4 linked regions of the Mus musculus genome follow. The protein of the gene in region 1 binds, or shares a complex with, the protein of each later gene. Links are inferred from orthologs where the notes say so. Each region holds a gene or a part of one and is shown in the gene's direction. Other genes may lie near its edges. The genes, in order: Ush1c, Cdhr5, Cdhr2 and Anks4b.

What was found.
Region 2: Ush1c (region 1) and Cdhr5 share a complex: the UniProt entries of both Homo sapiens proteins name them as parts of the IMAC/intermicrovillar adhesion complex. The link is inferred for Mus musculus from reciprocal best matches to the Homo sapiens genes USH1C and CDHR5.
Region 3: Ush1c (region 1) and Cdhr2 share a complex: the UniProt entries of both Homo sapiens proteins name them as parts of the IMAC/intermicrovillar adhesion complex. The link is inferred for Mus musculus from reciprocal best matches to the Homo sapiens genes USH1C and CDHR2.
Region 4: Ush1c (region 1) and Anks4b share a complex: the UniProt entries of both Homo sapiens proteins name them as parts of the IMAC/intermicrovillar adhesion complex. The link is inferred for Mus musculus from reciprocal best matches to the Homo sapiens genes USH1C and ANKS4B.

The regions. Positions count from the first base shown.
Region 1 is NC_000073.6:46,224,933-46,228,496, reverse strand, and holds part of Ush1c (harmonin), read left to right. Parts: intron 1-2,845; coding exon 2,846-2,954; intron 2,955-3,062; coding exon 3,063-3,087; intron 3,088-3,255; coding exon 3,256-3,313; intron 3,314-3,564. UniProt on the Homo sapiens protein: Anchoring/scaffolding protein that is a part of the functional network formed by USH1C, USH1G, CDH23 and MYO7A that mediates mechanotransduction in cochlear hair cells. Required for normal development and maintenance of cochlear hair cell bundles.
Region 2 is NC_000073.6:141,273,947-141,278,236, reverse strand, and holds the start of Cdhr5 (cadherin-related family member 5 isoform 1 precursor), read left to right. Parts: upstream 1-1,450; 5' UTR 1,451-1,518; coding exon 1,519-1,612; intron 1,613-1,690; coding exon 1,691-1,866; intron 1,867-2,198; coding exon 2,199-2,249; intron 2,250-3,697; coding exon 3,698-3,790; intron 3,791-3,969; coding exon 3,970-4,071; intron 4,072-4,179; coding exon 4,180-4,290. UniProt on the Homo sapiens protein: Intermicrovillar adhesion molecule that forms, via its extracellular domain, calcium-dependent heterophilic complexes with CDHR2 on adjacent microvilli. Thereby, controls the packing of microvilli at the apical membrane of epithelial cells.
Region 3 is NC_000079.6:54,728,958-54,732,521, forward strand, and holds part of Cdhr2 (cadherin-related family member 2 precursor), read left to right. Parts: intron 1-2,079; coding exon 2,080-2,228; intron 2,229-2,386; coding exon 2,387-2,495; intron 2,496-3,564. UniProt on the Homo sapiens protein: Intermicrovillar adhesion molecule that forms, via its extracellular domain, calcium-dependent heterophilic complexes with CDHR5 on adjacent microvilli. Thereby, controls the packing of microvilli at the apical membrane of epithelial cells.
Region 4 is NC_000073.6:120,172,601-120,176,709, forward strand, and holds the start of Anks4b (ankyrin repeat and SAM domain-containing protein 4B), read left to right. Parts: upstream 1-1,257; 5' UTR 1,258-1,318; coding exon 1,319-1,482; intron 1,483-4,109. UniProt on the Homo sapiens protein: As part of the intermicrovillar adhesion complex/IMAC plays a role in epithelial brush border differentiation, controlling microvilli organization and length. Plays a role in assembly of the complex.

The DNA.
Region 1 (3,564 bases):
CAGTCAGCACAGCTTCTTGATACACCAGAGCTGTGAGACTGACAGGTCCATACAGAGCAGTGAACTGGTGACCACCTCCAACCAAATCAAGTCAGTACGCATCAGATGAATCAGCCCCATTTTAAAGTGTTCATAGAGGTGCAGAAGTCAGTGAGCAGCAGAGCCAGGCTTTGAACCTGGGTCTTCTGGATCCAGGCCAGCACCCCAGGCTTCTCCCATACAGTCCCCACACTTTCGTGTCTGAGCAGGGACAAGCAGGCCTCCAGGTCTGAGGGCTGCTTATGTCTCTCCAGGTAAAGAGACTTCCAGGGATTTTGTTATCAACATCCCCATCGGGGAATAAGCCAGGGGCTTCAGGGGGCTCTAGGACTGATGGTGCGAGACCAGGGAGGAGGGGGTGGGGACAGCAAGATGACAGTCAGGGCTTTGTTCACAATCCCTGTCTCAGGGCTCCCGGTAGCATCTGAAATTTCAGCCCCCTCATTGTTCCTTCCCTCGGTGGCACATTTTCCAGCCCAGAAACACGGCCAGAGGAGAGAGCATAATGAGCTCCCCTCTTGGGGACAGCTGGGCCCCCCTTTTTTTCCAGCACAAGCTCTCCTCTGAGGACAAGCGCTTTCCTGCAGAGACCCATGAAGGAGGGCATCAGGGCGCACTCAGGAAACCCAGACATCCAACTTCCCACCTGCTTCTCAGGCTTATGAAATAGCACTCCCCCTTTCCGGGGCCCTGGGGCCCATCTCCTCTTTGTCCTACAATCCCTCAGATTGTCATGTTACTATGAGCTCCGTACAAAGGCTCTTTTGCAGGGTTCTGTGTAGAGCAAGGAGGGAGAGGGAAGTTGATCCTGCAACCCTCTCCAGGGGCTGTGGGGGAATCACTCCGACTAGGGTCCTGTAGTAACAATACAGGGAACTCCACTCAGGAGGAGCTAGGAGAAAATCGCCTTCATCCATTGATCAAACCAGGGTTCACGTTTCTTGTGCTGGAGGACAGCACAGAGAAGATTCTAGAAGTCAAGAGGGATTTGCCCTGGGATGCTGCAGGCCCTGCAGGGGCTTGAACCCTCCAGCAGGTCCTGGTCCTGGGACTTTAGTCACATTGCTTCTGTCCCCTCCAGGATACTTAGGTTTTTAACAATACCTTCTTTATGTTTAACTGTGTCCTTTATTCATGCACGTATGCAACTAGCTGTTTACTTGTGTAGAAAATGATTCTGCCCCCCTTCCCTGGCTCTGCTATAAGATGCACAAAGTAATCCCTGCCTTCTTATGGAACTCCGGGACTCTGAACAAGTGGCAGGACTCCATAGCAGGCAATGTGCAAGGAACTGCAGCCAGGCTTGGCCACATGCCCTCCTTTTCCAGACACCCAAGAGCCAGCATGTGTTGTCTGTCACGGAGACCTGACGACACATCCCAGCAGCCTCTTGGCTCACTGGGTGACTTTGAACAAATCAGTTCCTCCTGATGCCCCATCTCTTCACAGTGCCACAGTGGTCCCTACATAAAGGCCTTTTGGCAAGTTCTATGCAGAGCAGAAACACAAGTTCTTACCCTTTGGATTGAAAAACATAGGTTCAGGAAGCTATCTGGATGTTCTCTTTGAAGTCACTGTCCCCAGAAACGCAGCAAGTTCTTTGGAGAGCCCTCCTATCAGGACACTGAGATGGGTGTTTGAGTCCCAGAGAGATGGGCACACCCTTTCCTAGTGGTAATGAGAGGTAACTGTAGATTGTAGGCTGGGAACTGACCTAGAGACCATGTGCCCTCAGAGTCTAACCTGAGACCCCACATGTGCCAACCCTTCTCCAAGAGACCAACAGTAATGCGTGGGGTTTCAGGCAAAGCCACAGCCTTCATCTGCACGACGCCTGAGCTCTGTCCCCGTGTGTCTTCGTGTCCTTGGACAATACACCATTGTCTTGCACCCCTACCTGTCTCTTGCCCATTACCAATACACCTCTGCCTCAGCTTCCCTATCTTCTCTCAGGAGATGTTGATGTTCGAGGATCCTTCGGCTTTCTGGTAGAGGCAGCAGCGATGGCCAGCAGGGGGCAGTCTCATCATGCTCTGCCTCTTTGAACTGGCTCAGTAGGCCTCCTTAATAGCAACCATTTCTTAAGAACTTGCTGTGGGCCCCATACTGGCTGACCTTACACACTTGCACATATGTTTGCTTAATCCTCACTCAACAACTCCATGGTATTCTCTGCTTCATATATGAAAGAAACCATGGTTTAGAGAATCCAAAAGACTTGAATTTAAAAAAAAAGATTTCAACTCAGAGCACAGAGCCGTGGGTTCATTCTCTGCTCTTTGCCTGCTTCCAGAATCAAAACTCAGAAGTCAGTTTAACTTCATTGCATTTCCATGGAATGGAACAAAAGAGATTATATGTTTGTGTTAGTGATATGAGTTTGGGTCAAGTGTCATGCGTCCCCATTTCAGATCTCAGTAATTGGTAATTGATAGAGACAAAAGCCTGCTTCTAGGACAGGGAGGGACAAAGGCCAGACAGGGATGTTGGATTCCAGAACCTGATTGCACCTCAGTGGGGTGACAGAGGAACCAAGAGACGGTAACAGAGTTCCAAACCCTGCCTCAGCTCCATTACCCACCAACTGCATGCCTCTCCCCAGCTCAGATCTTGCTTTCTCCATCCTGGAGCTGAAAAGTGTTGCCTGCCGCTGTCGGAGGGTAGTTAGGCTGCGACACAGTACTAAAGCACAGATGAAAGCTTTTGCTTGATGACAGCCCCTCTGGGGCGGGGAGCACCTGGGAATGGGCCTGCTCCCCTGCTTGGCACTCTCCCCTGTGCCTGTTGCATCTCTCTCTCTGCCCAGGTAGGGGATGAAATTGTCCGGATCAACGGCTATTCCATCTCTTCCTGTACCCATGAGGAAGTCATCAACCTGATCCGCACCAAGAAGACCGTGTCCATCAAAGTGAGACGTGAGTGAGGCCGGACAGGAATGGCGCTTTGGGATGGGGGTTGGGTGGGAGGTGGCCCCAACCCCAAGGGCATAGGAGCTTCCCTAACCTGCTGTTTCCTCCCCACAGACATCGGACTGATCCCTGTGAAGAGGTAAGCAGGCTTATCTGTGAGTCTCCTCTAGGCCAAGAGTCCTGGGATCTACTCCACCCCCAGGCCCTGAACTTGCACTGCTCCTGGGCTGCGGGGGTGAAGTGACACAGAACCCAGCTCCCTCGAGTGTGCTTACCGGCTCCATCTTCTCTCTTGCCTTCGCCTCAGCTCTCCTGAGGAGTCCCTCAAATGGCAGTATGTGGATCAGTTCGTGTCGGAATCTGGGGTAAGAGACTACCTGCCATGGGGGTTCGGTAGCTGGCCTTGAAGAAGGAATGGCTCTGGGGAATGTAACCCCGGGGTCCCCCATAGGTCACTAGGGTACCTGGTATAGCATGGTAGGCCTTCAGACTCATACCGCAAGGATATGATGTCTCCAGTCTCCATGAATATTGGCTACTTAATCTGTATGTCTCAAGCTAAAAGGGCCACTTGAAGGCATGTAGACCCAGTAACCTGATTCTGTCTCTCCTTCAG
Region 2 (4,290 bases), about 95 Mb from region 1:
CAGTGGCTAGGACCACACCCAGCTGCCCTTTGAACCCAAGAAGCCAGCTAGGACATTTCTTATCTCTGGCATCAGCTGAACCCCTCTTTTCCCAGCTGAATTCCCTAGAGTGCCACCTTGCCCTGTGGTCCATTTAGCAAAATTTCTAGGGATCAGGGACTCCCCACCCTGGTCCAGCCATGTGGCCAGGGTAAATGAAGTGGTGAGGAGGAGGCTCAGGCGGGGTCATAGGGGTCCGCTTATGAGTGGGAGGACCTGAGTACATCCTGGCTCTAACATGTCTAGGCCTGAGGCCTGACGGTGATGTCATCTCCCAGTAGGCAGCTGTAGGACCAGTGAAGGGTTGTGAGACAGTGCTCAGTCTTTGCAGAGGCTTGGAGCCTCGGGAAGGTTTTCAGACACCTAAAGCAGCCAGCCCTGCAAAGGCCCACAGTAGTGAGAGCTGTGCAGGCCCTTTCAACAGAACACCCCCTACGACCCTCCTGATCCCACCCAGGGCCTTCTTCCTATCTCTGAGAGCTTACAGGCAAAAGGAGAGGAAGCATATCTAATGGAGGCCTGGGCTGTGTCCTCACCAGGATTCCTGTCTTCCATCAGATACTGGCTCCCCAAACCCCAGCTCCTAGCTGTGGCTGAAAGGTTCTATCTGCATCCTAACACCAACCAAGGCTCTGCCAGGCCCTACCCTGGGGGAACTGCTGTGTTTCTCATACAGCAGGAGCATACTGGGACACAGCCATTTCCCTTGGGAGTGGACGAGGGAAGGGAAGGGAGACGACATGACATAGCTCCAGGGATTTTGCTAGAGAACACTGAGGAGAAAGAGACAAGATGAGGGACACCCCAATGAGGGCTACAGTAGACCCAATGGCTCAGCCTGTTCTTGCTCCCAGCTCCCCACAGCCCTGCCCCCATTCCCCACAGCCCTGCCCCAGCTCTCCATAGCCCTGCCCCAGCTCCCCACAGCCCTGCCCCAGCTCCCCAGACCCATGGTTCCATCCCACAGGCCTGCTTCAGCCCCCAGCCCTGACTCAGCTCCCTACAGCCCTGCCCCAGTTCCCCACAGCCCTGCCCCAGCTCTCCATAGCCCTGCCCCAGCTCTCCATAGCCCTGCCCCAGCTCCCCATAGCCCTGCCCCAGCTCCCCAGACCCATGGTTCCATCCCACAGGCCTGCTTCAGCCCCCAGCCCTGACTCAGCCTCCTTAGATCTATGGCCCCAGAGCCTTGCCCTGGCTCCCCACACCTATTCTCCACTCCTCCTTGTTCTCAAGCTTCATACACCTTATGTGTAGTTCCCGTGGGTTGAGTCTCCAGCTAACTTCCTGGAAGTCCAGGCCGAAATATGACCTCATGTCCCCTGTTAGTGCCGGCCAGCGGGAGTCCCCTTGATAGAGGCCATCTGTAAAGGGTCATAAAATGAGGCGGTGCCTGGCAGGGGCGAAGGTCGCCAAGGCAGGAATTGTACCAGCCCTGGAACCAAGCAAGCTGGATCCTTCTTCCAGGTGACAGCTGCCGCCATGGGGGCTCCGGCCCTCCTGTGGCCTTCCCTGCTGTTGCCATGGCTCACAGTGCTGTTTGGCCAACCTCCGGGGACCTTGGCCCAGACCCAGGGTATGTGTCGGGCAGGGGCAGGACAGGTGGGTGGCAGAGCTCTGATGAGGAACCAACTTCTTCTTTCCAACTTTCTAGTCTGCTCTGTGAACCAGACCATATTTAGAGTCGAGGAGAACACCACTGTTTCTGAGCCACTGGTGAACATTTTTGTCCCAGACGGCCTGCACGTGACCTTGGGACCCTTGTCCACTCCTTATGCCTTTAGGATCGAAGGAAAAGATCTGTTTCTCAACGTGACTCCAGATTATGAGGTACAGTCTGTAGGCTGGATGGAATGTGCCTTCATGGAGACATACATGGGCGGGCCTCCTAACCTGGGGAAGATTCAGGGAAGGAGGGGCTGAGGGTTCTCTATCCCCCTGAGTGAGGAACCCTTCAGGCCCTGTGGTCGGTTGGTTGGTACTGAGGGGGAGGGCCGTAGGGGACAAAGCTGCCAAATGCCCCCCCCCACACACCCAGGATTTCCCACAGATGACTGGGGCGCTGGAGCGGTACCTGCTCTCCTAGCCGTACTCTCCCGTTCTAGAGCAGCATAGCTCCTTATGTGGCAAGTGACTCATAGGGCCCCTGGCTTCATCCTTAGGAAAACTCATTGCTCCAGGCAGATGTGGAGTGTAAGAGAGGAGATGCGGTGGTAAGTTAACCCCAGTACCTGATCACCTCTGCCTTCTGTCAGAGTACCCCAAGGCCATTCCCCCATGACCTCAGCTCTCTCCTGGCCACTCCCACGCTTGCTTCTTTCAGCCTAGACTTCCCTGAGCTCCAGACTCAAAGTCAGCTAACTTAGAGCTGTGGATTAAGTCAATACCCTGAGGCCCTAAGTCTGCCTCTCATCCCTCACCTGCCAGCCACTTAGGCCCCTTTTGAGGTCACCCCACCCCAGGTACATTGTTGGGATTGTCGGTTGTGCCTCAGTTAGAGTCAGCCCTACTCTTCCTACCTCTAGTCCCACGGGGCCTTGGGCAGCAGGTCTCCTTTCTGACCCTGCCGCAGATCCATTTGCTCTCCGTGCCCTTGGTCCTTCTCTATTCCTTCCCCCACATAGTGAATCCCTAGAGAGTCATAACCACAACCCCAGACAGCCTCACACAGAAACTTCTACGTTTCTTACCGGACTCCAAAGCTAAATGCACAGGTGGGTGGGTGAGGCAGGCTAGGGCATGCAGACACTGATCTGGTATGCAAATTCATTTTGATGCTTAACCCTCCTACGTTATGCTGCCCCGCTACCCTATCCCATACATCGTATCCCTCAGCCTCCACCACAAGCCTTTTACTAAAGGAAGCTCGAAGAAATAACAGGCCCCACATAATTTCTGCTTCACCATGAGCAACTCTCACACCCTGCACTCCTACCTGGCTCCATGACATGTTACCACACACATCTTGGGCCACGTCTCTAATAGGTAGTAATATTAAAAAAACAAAACAAGACAAAACTTATTTTTTTTTTTTGGTATAGTTCAGTGGTAGAGTATCTGCCTAGTATGATTTGAAGCCCTGGGCTCCACCTTCAACACATGAATATAATTCACACACATACACAGACATACAGATACACAGAGAGACAGAGACAGAAACAGGAAGACAGAGAGAGGCATGGACTTGGTATCTGTCACACCTGAGAAGAACAGCTTTCTCTCTGTCCTCCAGCACCTGGCTGTGTTCGTTTCTCCCTGGGTCTCAGGAAGGGTTCTCTCATGGAATAAAGCTGTTTGGTTTTAACCTAAAGGCCCCTTTCTCTGATCTTCTCTTGGAGACCTGTTTCTGAAGCCGCGAGAGGCTGTTTTTCTCCCTTCGATGCGTTGCTGGTTGTGGCCCTGGGATTGTCATCATTTCTCTTCAGCCCACCCACCACACACATGTGGCCACACTCTAAAACTTGTTTTTACAGTCTACGTTCCTCCTAGAACAGTAGCTCACAGGCCACCACATTATTGCTGCCATCAGAGCTGTGGAATGAAAGGGAAAGAATGACTGACTGACTGAATGAATAAGATAAGAATAATGAAACAGATAAGAAAAGGAATGAATGAATGATGGGTCATCAGAGCATTGCTGACTTTGGTGACTTTGCTGCAGGTGGTACGCCTGGAGGTGTTTGTGGCTGTCCTGGATATCAATGACAATGCGCCAAAATTCTCCTTTGAAATCAAGACATTTAATGTATCGGAGGTGAGCCCAGTCGGAACCAGTGCTGTCTTGAGCATGGAGAGGCAGGGGGACACAGGGTGTCTGCAGGGGGACACAGGGTGTCTGCAGGGGGACACAGGGTGTCTGCGGGACCACATCGGGAAGATCTATATACAGAAACCACAGCATGGCTGGACCAACCTCCTCTTCTCCATTCCCAGGACACCAAAGTGAATACAACCGTCATCCCTGAGACACAGCTGAAGGCTACAGATGCTGACATAAATGACATCCTAGTCTACACTCTGCAGGAAGTGACCCCCGTCAGTGCTTCCCCAGCCCCACTCATTATTGACAACCCTCACTCTTTCTGATGCCTTCAGGCCTCAGTTTCTCCACCTTCCAGAGTCCCACCTCCTTCCCCTCCACAGAATGCCAGCAAGTTCTTCTCCCTGGAGGGCGTAAACTACCCTGCTCTGAAGTTGGACCAGACCCTGGATTACTTCAAGAATCAGAACATGACCTTCATGCTGCTGGCACGG
Region 3 (3,564 bases), on another chromosome or scaffold:
CCGTGCTTCTCTGGGATTAAGTTTCCTTCCTTTCTGTGTGTAGTTTGAGACAGGTTCTGACCATGTAGCCTTGGCTATTTTGGAACTCACTATGCAAACCAGCTTTGCCTGGAATCCACCTGCCTCTGCTTCTGCAATACTGAGATTAAAGGCATGGGTCACTGCGCCCAGCTCAGTCTGCCTCTTTGACAAGAGGCTCCTGCACTAGGAAAGGCCTGGCCGTCCCCATAGAGAGTTGAGGGTGTCCTTAGGACAGGAATTCTCCTGGGGACAGCAAATTCCTCTTTCTAGATTCTTACAAGGCTTCACCCAGTTAATTTCCAAGCCAACAGAATGCCAGTGTCCCAGTTTAGTCATGGCTTTGAATTGTTTTCTTTTGCACATGTGCACTGGAACACATGTGTAGGTGGGTTCACATGCTCCTGGGCATGTATGCATGTGCTAGGCCGAGTGTATGTGTGTGTGTGTGTATTTGCGTATTCGTGTAGGTGGTATGAGCATGTGTGTGCTAAAACCAGTGTAGGGCATTGTTCCTTAGGAGCCACCCCTCATCCTGCTATTAAATGGAGACAGGATCTCACAGTAGCCTGGAACTTGCCTATTAGGCTGACAGGCCCAGGGATACACCTGTTCCCACCTCCCCTTTGCTGAGATTACAAGTGTATCCCAATGTACCTGGTCTTTTTTTTTTTTTTTCCTTTGATGAGTATGAAGTGTTCTTCCTTGTCTCTTTTGATTAATTTTGGTTGAAAGTCTATTTTATTGGATATTAGGATGGCTACTCAAGCTTGTTTCTTAGATTTTTTTGCTTAAAAATATTTTTTCAGCCCTTTACTTTGCAGTAATGTCATCTTTGATTCTGAGCTGTGTTTCTTGCATGCAGCAGAATGATGGGTCCTGTTTTCACATTTATTCTGTTAGCTTGTGTCTTTTCTTTTTTTTTTTTTTTTCCATTTTTTATTAGGTATTTAGCTCATTTACATTTCCAATGCTATACCAAAAGTCCCCCATAGCCACCCACCCCCACTCCCCTACCCACCCACTCCCCTTTTTTGGCCCTGGCGTTCCCCTGTACTGGGGCATATAAAGTTTGCGTGTCCAATGGGCCTCTCTTTCCAGTGATGGCCGCCTAGGCCATCTTTTGATACATATGCAGCTAGAGTCTGTACCTGGTCTTTTATGTGGTCTCTGAAAGCCAAACACAGGTCAGGCCCTTGGGCCTGCAGGGTAAGCACTTTACTGGCAAACACTGCTTTTTTTTTTTTTTTTTTTTTTTTTTTTTTTTTGGTTTGTTTGTTTGTTTTGCTTCCCAAGATTGGGTTTCTCTGTGTAACAGCTCTGGCTTCCTGGAACTTACTCTGTAGAGCTGTTCTTGAACTCACAGAGCTCTGCCTGCCTTTGCATCCCACGTGCTATGATTAAAGGTGTGTGCCACCACTGCTTGGGTTCCAAACTCGTGCTTTTTTTTTTTTTTTTTAATTAATTCCTTTTTACAACCAGAAGCCCAGACATTCATCACCCTGAGCTAGAAGCCCTATGTACCTGTTTTATTCTTTTTTAAGACACTAGAATGAATCCAGATGTTCGTCCCTCCTTCTTGTCCATTTCCGATCCACTAGAGAATGTAGACAGGACTGAAGTGAGGGCTTTAGAGAGAGGATACACACAGTAGGTGCTCTTGAGCTGAGCAAGGCTGTGATTGGGAATGAGTGTGTATGTGCCTGGCAATTGAATAGAGAGTGGGGCAGCTTTAAGTACAGGAGGGCTTAGGGTGTTGATCTGTTATATTGGGGTACACAAGAAAAAACGTAGGCAAATGTGGATGTGTAGTGACCTTGATCTTTAAAAAGCCCAAGCCAGGTGTGATGTACATTTCTGTAGTCTTTTGAGGCAGCGGCAGGAGGATCACAGAAAATTCAAGGCCATTCTGGTGTAACAGTGAGTTCCAGGCCAGCCAGGACTATATGGTGAGACCTATAAGAAAGTAGCTCTGCTCTGTAGTGGCCACTGTAGCGTCTGATTGTGGTGGGAATGGGAGGCCTTTCCCGGCCTCTCCCCAGACATCCACTCTTGCTCCAGGCCAGAGATGAGGACTCAGAAGACAATGGGATCATCATGTTCTCCATCCTGAAAGCAGAATTTGTCCGCAAAGATGGAACTTCCAACCCTGTCCAGGTCTTCCGGATTACCAGATCAGTGGAAGCTGGCCTGTTCACTGGCAGCATCGAGTACTGTGGTGATGGCCTCCTGGGAGGGGGGAGGGGAGAGGGAGCCCAAGGCTGAGGCAGGGTCTCCATCCTGGAGTGTGTACAGGTGTTTTTTCAGTAGGACTGTAAGAACCCAGATTTGCTTATGGAATAAAGCTATGTCTTTACTTCTCTCATAGGTTGGTGACCAACCTAGATTCTACTATCCAAGGCACATACCAGGTGACAGTTCAGGCCCAAGATCAGCCCACATTGGGTCCTGCCCTAGAGACACAGACCACTCTGAATGTGAGTGCTTTCCCTGCCTCTAGCCCCTGCTGTTCTCCGCTAGCCTGTGTTCCTCTTTTGTTTGTTTTTATATTATGTTGTTGTAAGACAGGTTCTCACTATGTAGCTCTGGCTGGCCTGGAGCACCGGTGTAGACGAGGCTGACCTTGAACTCACAGACAACCAATTGTCTTTGTCTACCAAGTTCTGGGATTAAAGGCACGCTTTGCTGAAGTTTTATCCAGAATACTTGTCATAGTCAGATGGACCTGTCACCCTGTCGTTTGGGGGACAAAAGCAGGAGCAGCTTGAATTTGAGGCCAGCCTGGGCTCCATAGCAAGACCTGGCCTTAAAACAAATCATAAACCACACACACACAGATACACAGACGCATAGACACAGACACACACAGAGATACACAGAGACACACACACACAGACACACATGCACAAACACAGACACACACAGACACACAGAGACATATACACACAGACACACACAGACTTACACACATACACACACACACACACACTCTGACATGCAAACACACACACATACACAAATACAGAAATATACATAAATACACAAATAGACACACACACAGAGACACAGCACTCCCACACCCACACACCGCCCTAGATACACGGTAGGACACAAACAGAGAGATACACAAACATACAGAGACACACACAGACATACAGAGATACACACAAATGCACACATAGACACATACATACACACATACAGTGACACACACACACACACACACAGACACACAGAGACACACACAAACACAAACATAGACACACACAGAGAGATACACAAACATATACAGATATACAGAGATACATACATACACACATACACTGACACACAGACACACACAGGTACACAGAGATACACACACACATAGACACACACACAGAGATACACAAACACACACAGACACACAGAGATACACACATACACAAACATAGACACACATATACTGACACACACACAGAGGTACACAGAGACACACACACTGACACACACACACACACAATCACACTTTGATGTTCTCACCCACATATCAGAGACAAGAACAAC
Region 4 (4,109 bases), about 74 Mb from region 1:
CTTACCTAGGGATCCATCCCATCTGCAGACACCAAACCCAGACACTATTGCTGATGCCAAGAAGCACTTGCTGACAGGAGCCTGGTATAGCTGTCCTCCTGAGAGGCTCTGCCAGAGCTGGGAGCAGTACAGATGTGAATGCTCACAGTCAAACCATCAGATTGAGCACAGGGACCACAATGGAGGAGTTAGGGGAAGGACTAAAGGAGCTGAAGGGGTTTGCAACCCCATAGGAGGAACAACAATATGAACCAACCAGACCCACCAGAGCTCCTAGGGACTAAACTACTAACCAAAGAGAACACATGGAGGTACCCATGGCTCCAGCTGCATATGTAGCAGAGGATGGCCTTATCTGGCATCACTGGGAGGGGAGGCCCTTCGTCCTGTGAAGGCTTGATGCCCCAGCATAGGGGAATGCTAGAGAGGTGGGGCAGGAGTAGGTAGGTGGGATAGCACCCTTATGCAAGCAGGGGAAAGGGGAGATGGAATAGAGGTTTTCGGAGGGGAAACTGGGAAGGGGATAATATTTGAATTGTAAATAAACAAAATAACCAATTAAAAAACCCTAACATCAATTCCTCTCTTTCCTATAGCCTGGGTATTGCTACTTGAATCATTTAAAAATATCTATAAATATTAATCATATACATATATATGTATATATAATGACATATGTGTATTTATGTATAATAGAAATATTTATAAAAGATTTTTAAAAAAGAAAGTGCTGTTTCCTTTTTGTGACACTCTCTAGACCAAGCTTTTTTGTGGCAGTTCCTGGAGAGTGACCTGTTTGTCTTCTGGCCTGTCAATCGGCCTTCTCTCCTCCATGTTATAGCAAAGATTTCACAACTGTAAATTTACTAAGATCTTTTATTTTATACTTCAAATGGCTAAATTCAAGTTGTACAAATTAGACCCCCTAAAATCTATTAAAACACCCCTTCTCCCACCCAAGTGAACTTAAACAGTTCAGAGTTTTTTGAGATTATTTCCCATATTCTGTGAGTGGGTGGTCAGTATCACATCTGACACTAGTTAATGGACACAGTAAAGATTAAACGTGCTTCACCACACTCATGACACACCTGTCAGGCCTCAGTGGTCATTGCCATGGTTGGTCCCCAAAGGAAAGGCCCAAGTCCAGGATTGCAGGTCTTCCTGGCTGGCTGCCTTCCAAGGAGCAAGGCCGGAGTGAACTTTGGCCTGGGGTGATACTCCCCGTCACTGATTAACCAGCCCTGTTGGAAGACTGTGTTACCAGCTCTGCCTAGACAAAGACTCCTACCTGGCCAAGCTCTGGTGGGCAGAAAAAATGTCTACCCGCTATCACCAAGCAGCGAGTGACAGCTACCTGGAACTTCTGAAGGAGGCCACCAAGCGTGATCTGAATCTCTCAGATGAGGATGGCATGACACCCACTCTCCTGGCAGCCTACCACGGCAACCTCGAGGCCCTAGAAATAATCTGCAGTAGAGGGTGAGTGATTCCTGTTAGGGTATCCTGGGTGGGGAGTACCACACCGGCAGTAAGAGACAGAGACATCCACGAAGACATTTTACTTCTTTCTAGGCTCCCTAAGTCTTTGGCTTTTAGAGAAAGAGTCAAGACTAAGCTAGGTATGGTTTCTTTCCCTGTGAAAACAGCCATTTAGGAGTCACTCAGGCAGAGGGGTGGGGGTAGGCATTGGAACTATATGCCCTGAAAGTCATATCCATGGAATTGAAATGGTTAACTCCTTAAAAAGAGGTCACCATGCTTTTTGGTTCAGTCATCCTCCTTGGTTAGGACATGGCTTTATTTTACGTTTTCAATTGTGTCACTAAAAACTATCTTTTATGAACACTCGGCCTTGGTGTAAGCTGAATTTTTGAATGAAATTTCTGGCTTTACAAGCTATAAAATGAGTCTTCAATCTTCACACACACACATACACACACCATCCCTTACCTTTAAATTCAAGTCTTTGCTAACTCTTTTATTCTGCTTGTCCTGCTCATTGCCAGAGGGCTAGTCAGGGTAGGCAGCTACGACTTAAGATGGGCAGAAATGGAGCGAAAGAGGAGTCTGGGAGAATGAGAGGAGTGGGAGTGGGAGGACGGGAGGGGAGGTAAAGAGTAAGAGAGCCAAGTGATTCCAGGACAGTGCATATTTAGCATCTGGCAGGTGACAGTCCACCTCTCCTCCTTCTCTCTCCTTCTTCCTCTTTCTCTTTCTTCCACTCCTTCCTCCTCTGATTCCAATTCTTCTCATATATTTTTGGTGCTGCCCAGATGGTGCTGATCAACAGAACATCCTAGTGTTCCTGTGGCAATCAGATCTGAGAGGGGAAGCCAAGCGAGCGGCTTTGGGTAGATGTGATAAAGCTCGTGCCAGGGAAGGGAAATTAAGCTGACATTAGAAAGACAAGGAGCTGATCGAGGTGGAGGGAAGTGTTTTCCCCCTAAGGCAGAACACTGTGCATTCCGAGGATGGAAGACATTGAGCTTGGCTGGACCTGACCTGCACAGGGACAGAACCTAAGCCATAAGACCAGACTATCAGGAGCCTTGAGAATTCTGCTGAGAACTTCAATCTTCTCCTGAGAGCCTAGACACCACACCCTCTATTTACAAAGGAGGCCATCAGATAGATTTATGCTTATGAATATTGTTCTGGTGATTGTACAGTGGTCACAGAGAATGTCTAGGGACATTCAAGGTAAAGTGAAACTCACGTGGTAACACTGGGCGTGGGTAGACACAGAGATGTGAGTGACAGTTTGGATGTCAGAGAGTGATTGGATGTGGCAAGTAAAGGAAGACGAGGGTCAACATCCATGTTTGGATTAAACAGATTGCGGGTCTGGCCACCTCGTTGGACTGGGGAACATGTCAGAAAGAGCGTGCTCACTCTCTATACGGCATCTCCTGAAGCTTTATTCAAGTTAGGTCTTTCTTTTTTTTTTTTTGAGTTAATGTCTCAGTTTTGCTACAGCAGTGAAGTATGCAACACTCTCTATTTAATTTACACCTTTAGTATCATAACCAGCAAATTTATTTCTTAGGTTATCCCCCTATTTGTTACATTTTTTTTTCTAGTTGGCAGTGTTGTGATGATTGTTCTTCCACGTAAGTCCTGGTCCATACTTTTTTTTTTCCGAGTGCAAATTCTCAGAACTAAAGTTGTCAGTTGGCCTACACTTGTGCTATGATAACGAAATACCTCAGACAAGGTAACTCAGAGAGGATAAAACTTATTCTCATAATTTTAAGAGCAGCCAGGAAGTCTAAGATCAAGTTGGCAAGAAGTTTGGTACCTGGAGAGATCAATTTTCTGTTTCCATGATGGGTTCTTATGGCTGCCACCTCTAGGGAGGGCAAAGGTGGAGCCCCCCCTCCCCCATGATAGGAGAGAGAGGAGGTACAGGCAAAGACAACTAGGAAAAGCAAGTTCCCTTCTTCGATAGGGAATCACTTTTACAAGGGGAAAGGCAGGGTCCTGGTGAGACTGAGAACGCCAGTGCTGAGCAGCCCTTACATTTCTGTCTGCGAGTCTATAACATTGCCCCAGTTTTATAACAGGTTCTTAAATATTGATTTATAAAATTGGCTTTCAGAGAAGGTGTGTGTGTGTGTGTGTATGTGCGAGAGAGAGAGAGAGAGAGAGGGGGGGGGAGGGAGAGAGAGGTTAATGGTAGTGTCAGCATACCAGGATGCATATGTAGAGATCAGAGGACAGCCTTGGTTGTCAGGCGTCCACTTTCCACAGTGTTTGAGAACAGGTCTCTTGTGATCTCAGATTAGCTGACCCATGACCCCCCAAGGACTCTCCTGTCTCTGCCTCTCATTTTGCCAGGAAAATGATGAAGAAGCCTTTGATCTGGCTTTATGTGAGTCCTGGGCATCTGAACTTAGGGCCTTAGCCTTGTACAGTGAACAATTTACCCACTGACCCATCTCATAGCCTTCAAAAGGCTTTTAAACTTAACAGCATCAACTCTTTATCATATATATTATGAAAGTTGACAATATTTTAACAATTAATACTGTAAGTATAAATACTTATATATATATATATATACACATAATATGTACTTATTGAATACATGCATATATAATATATAT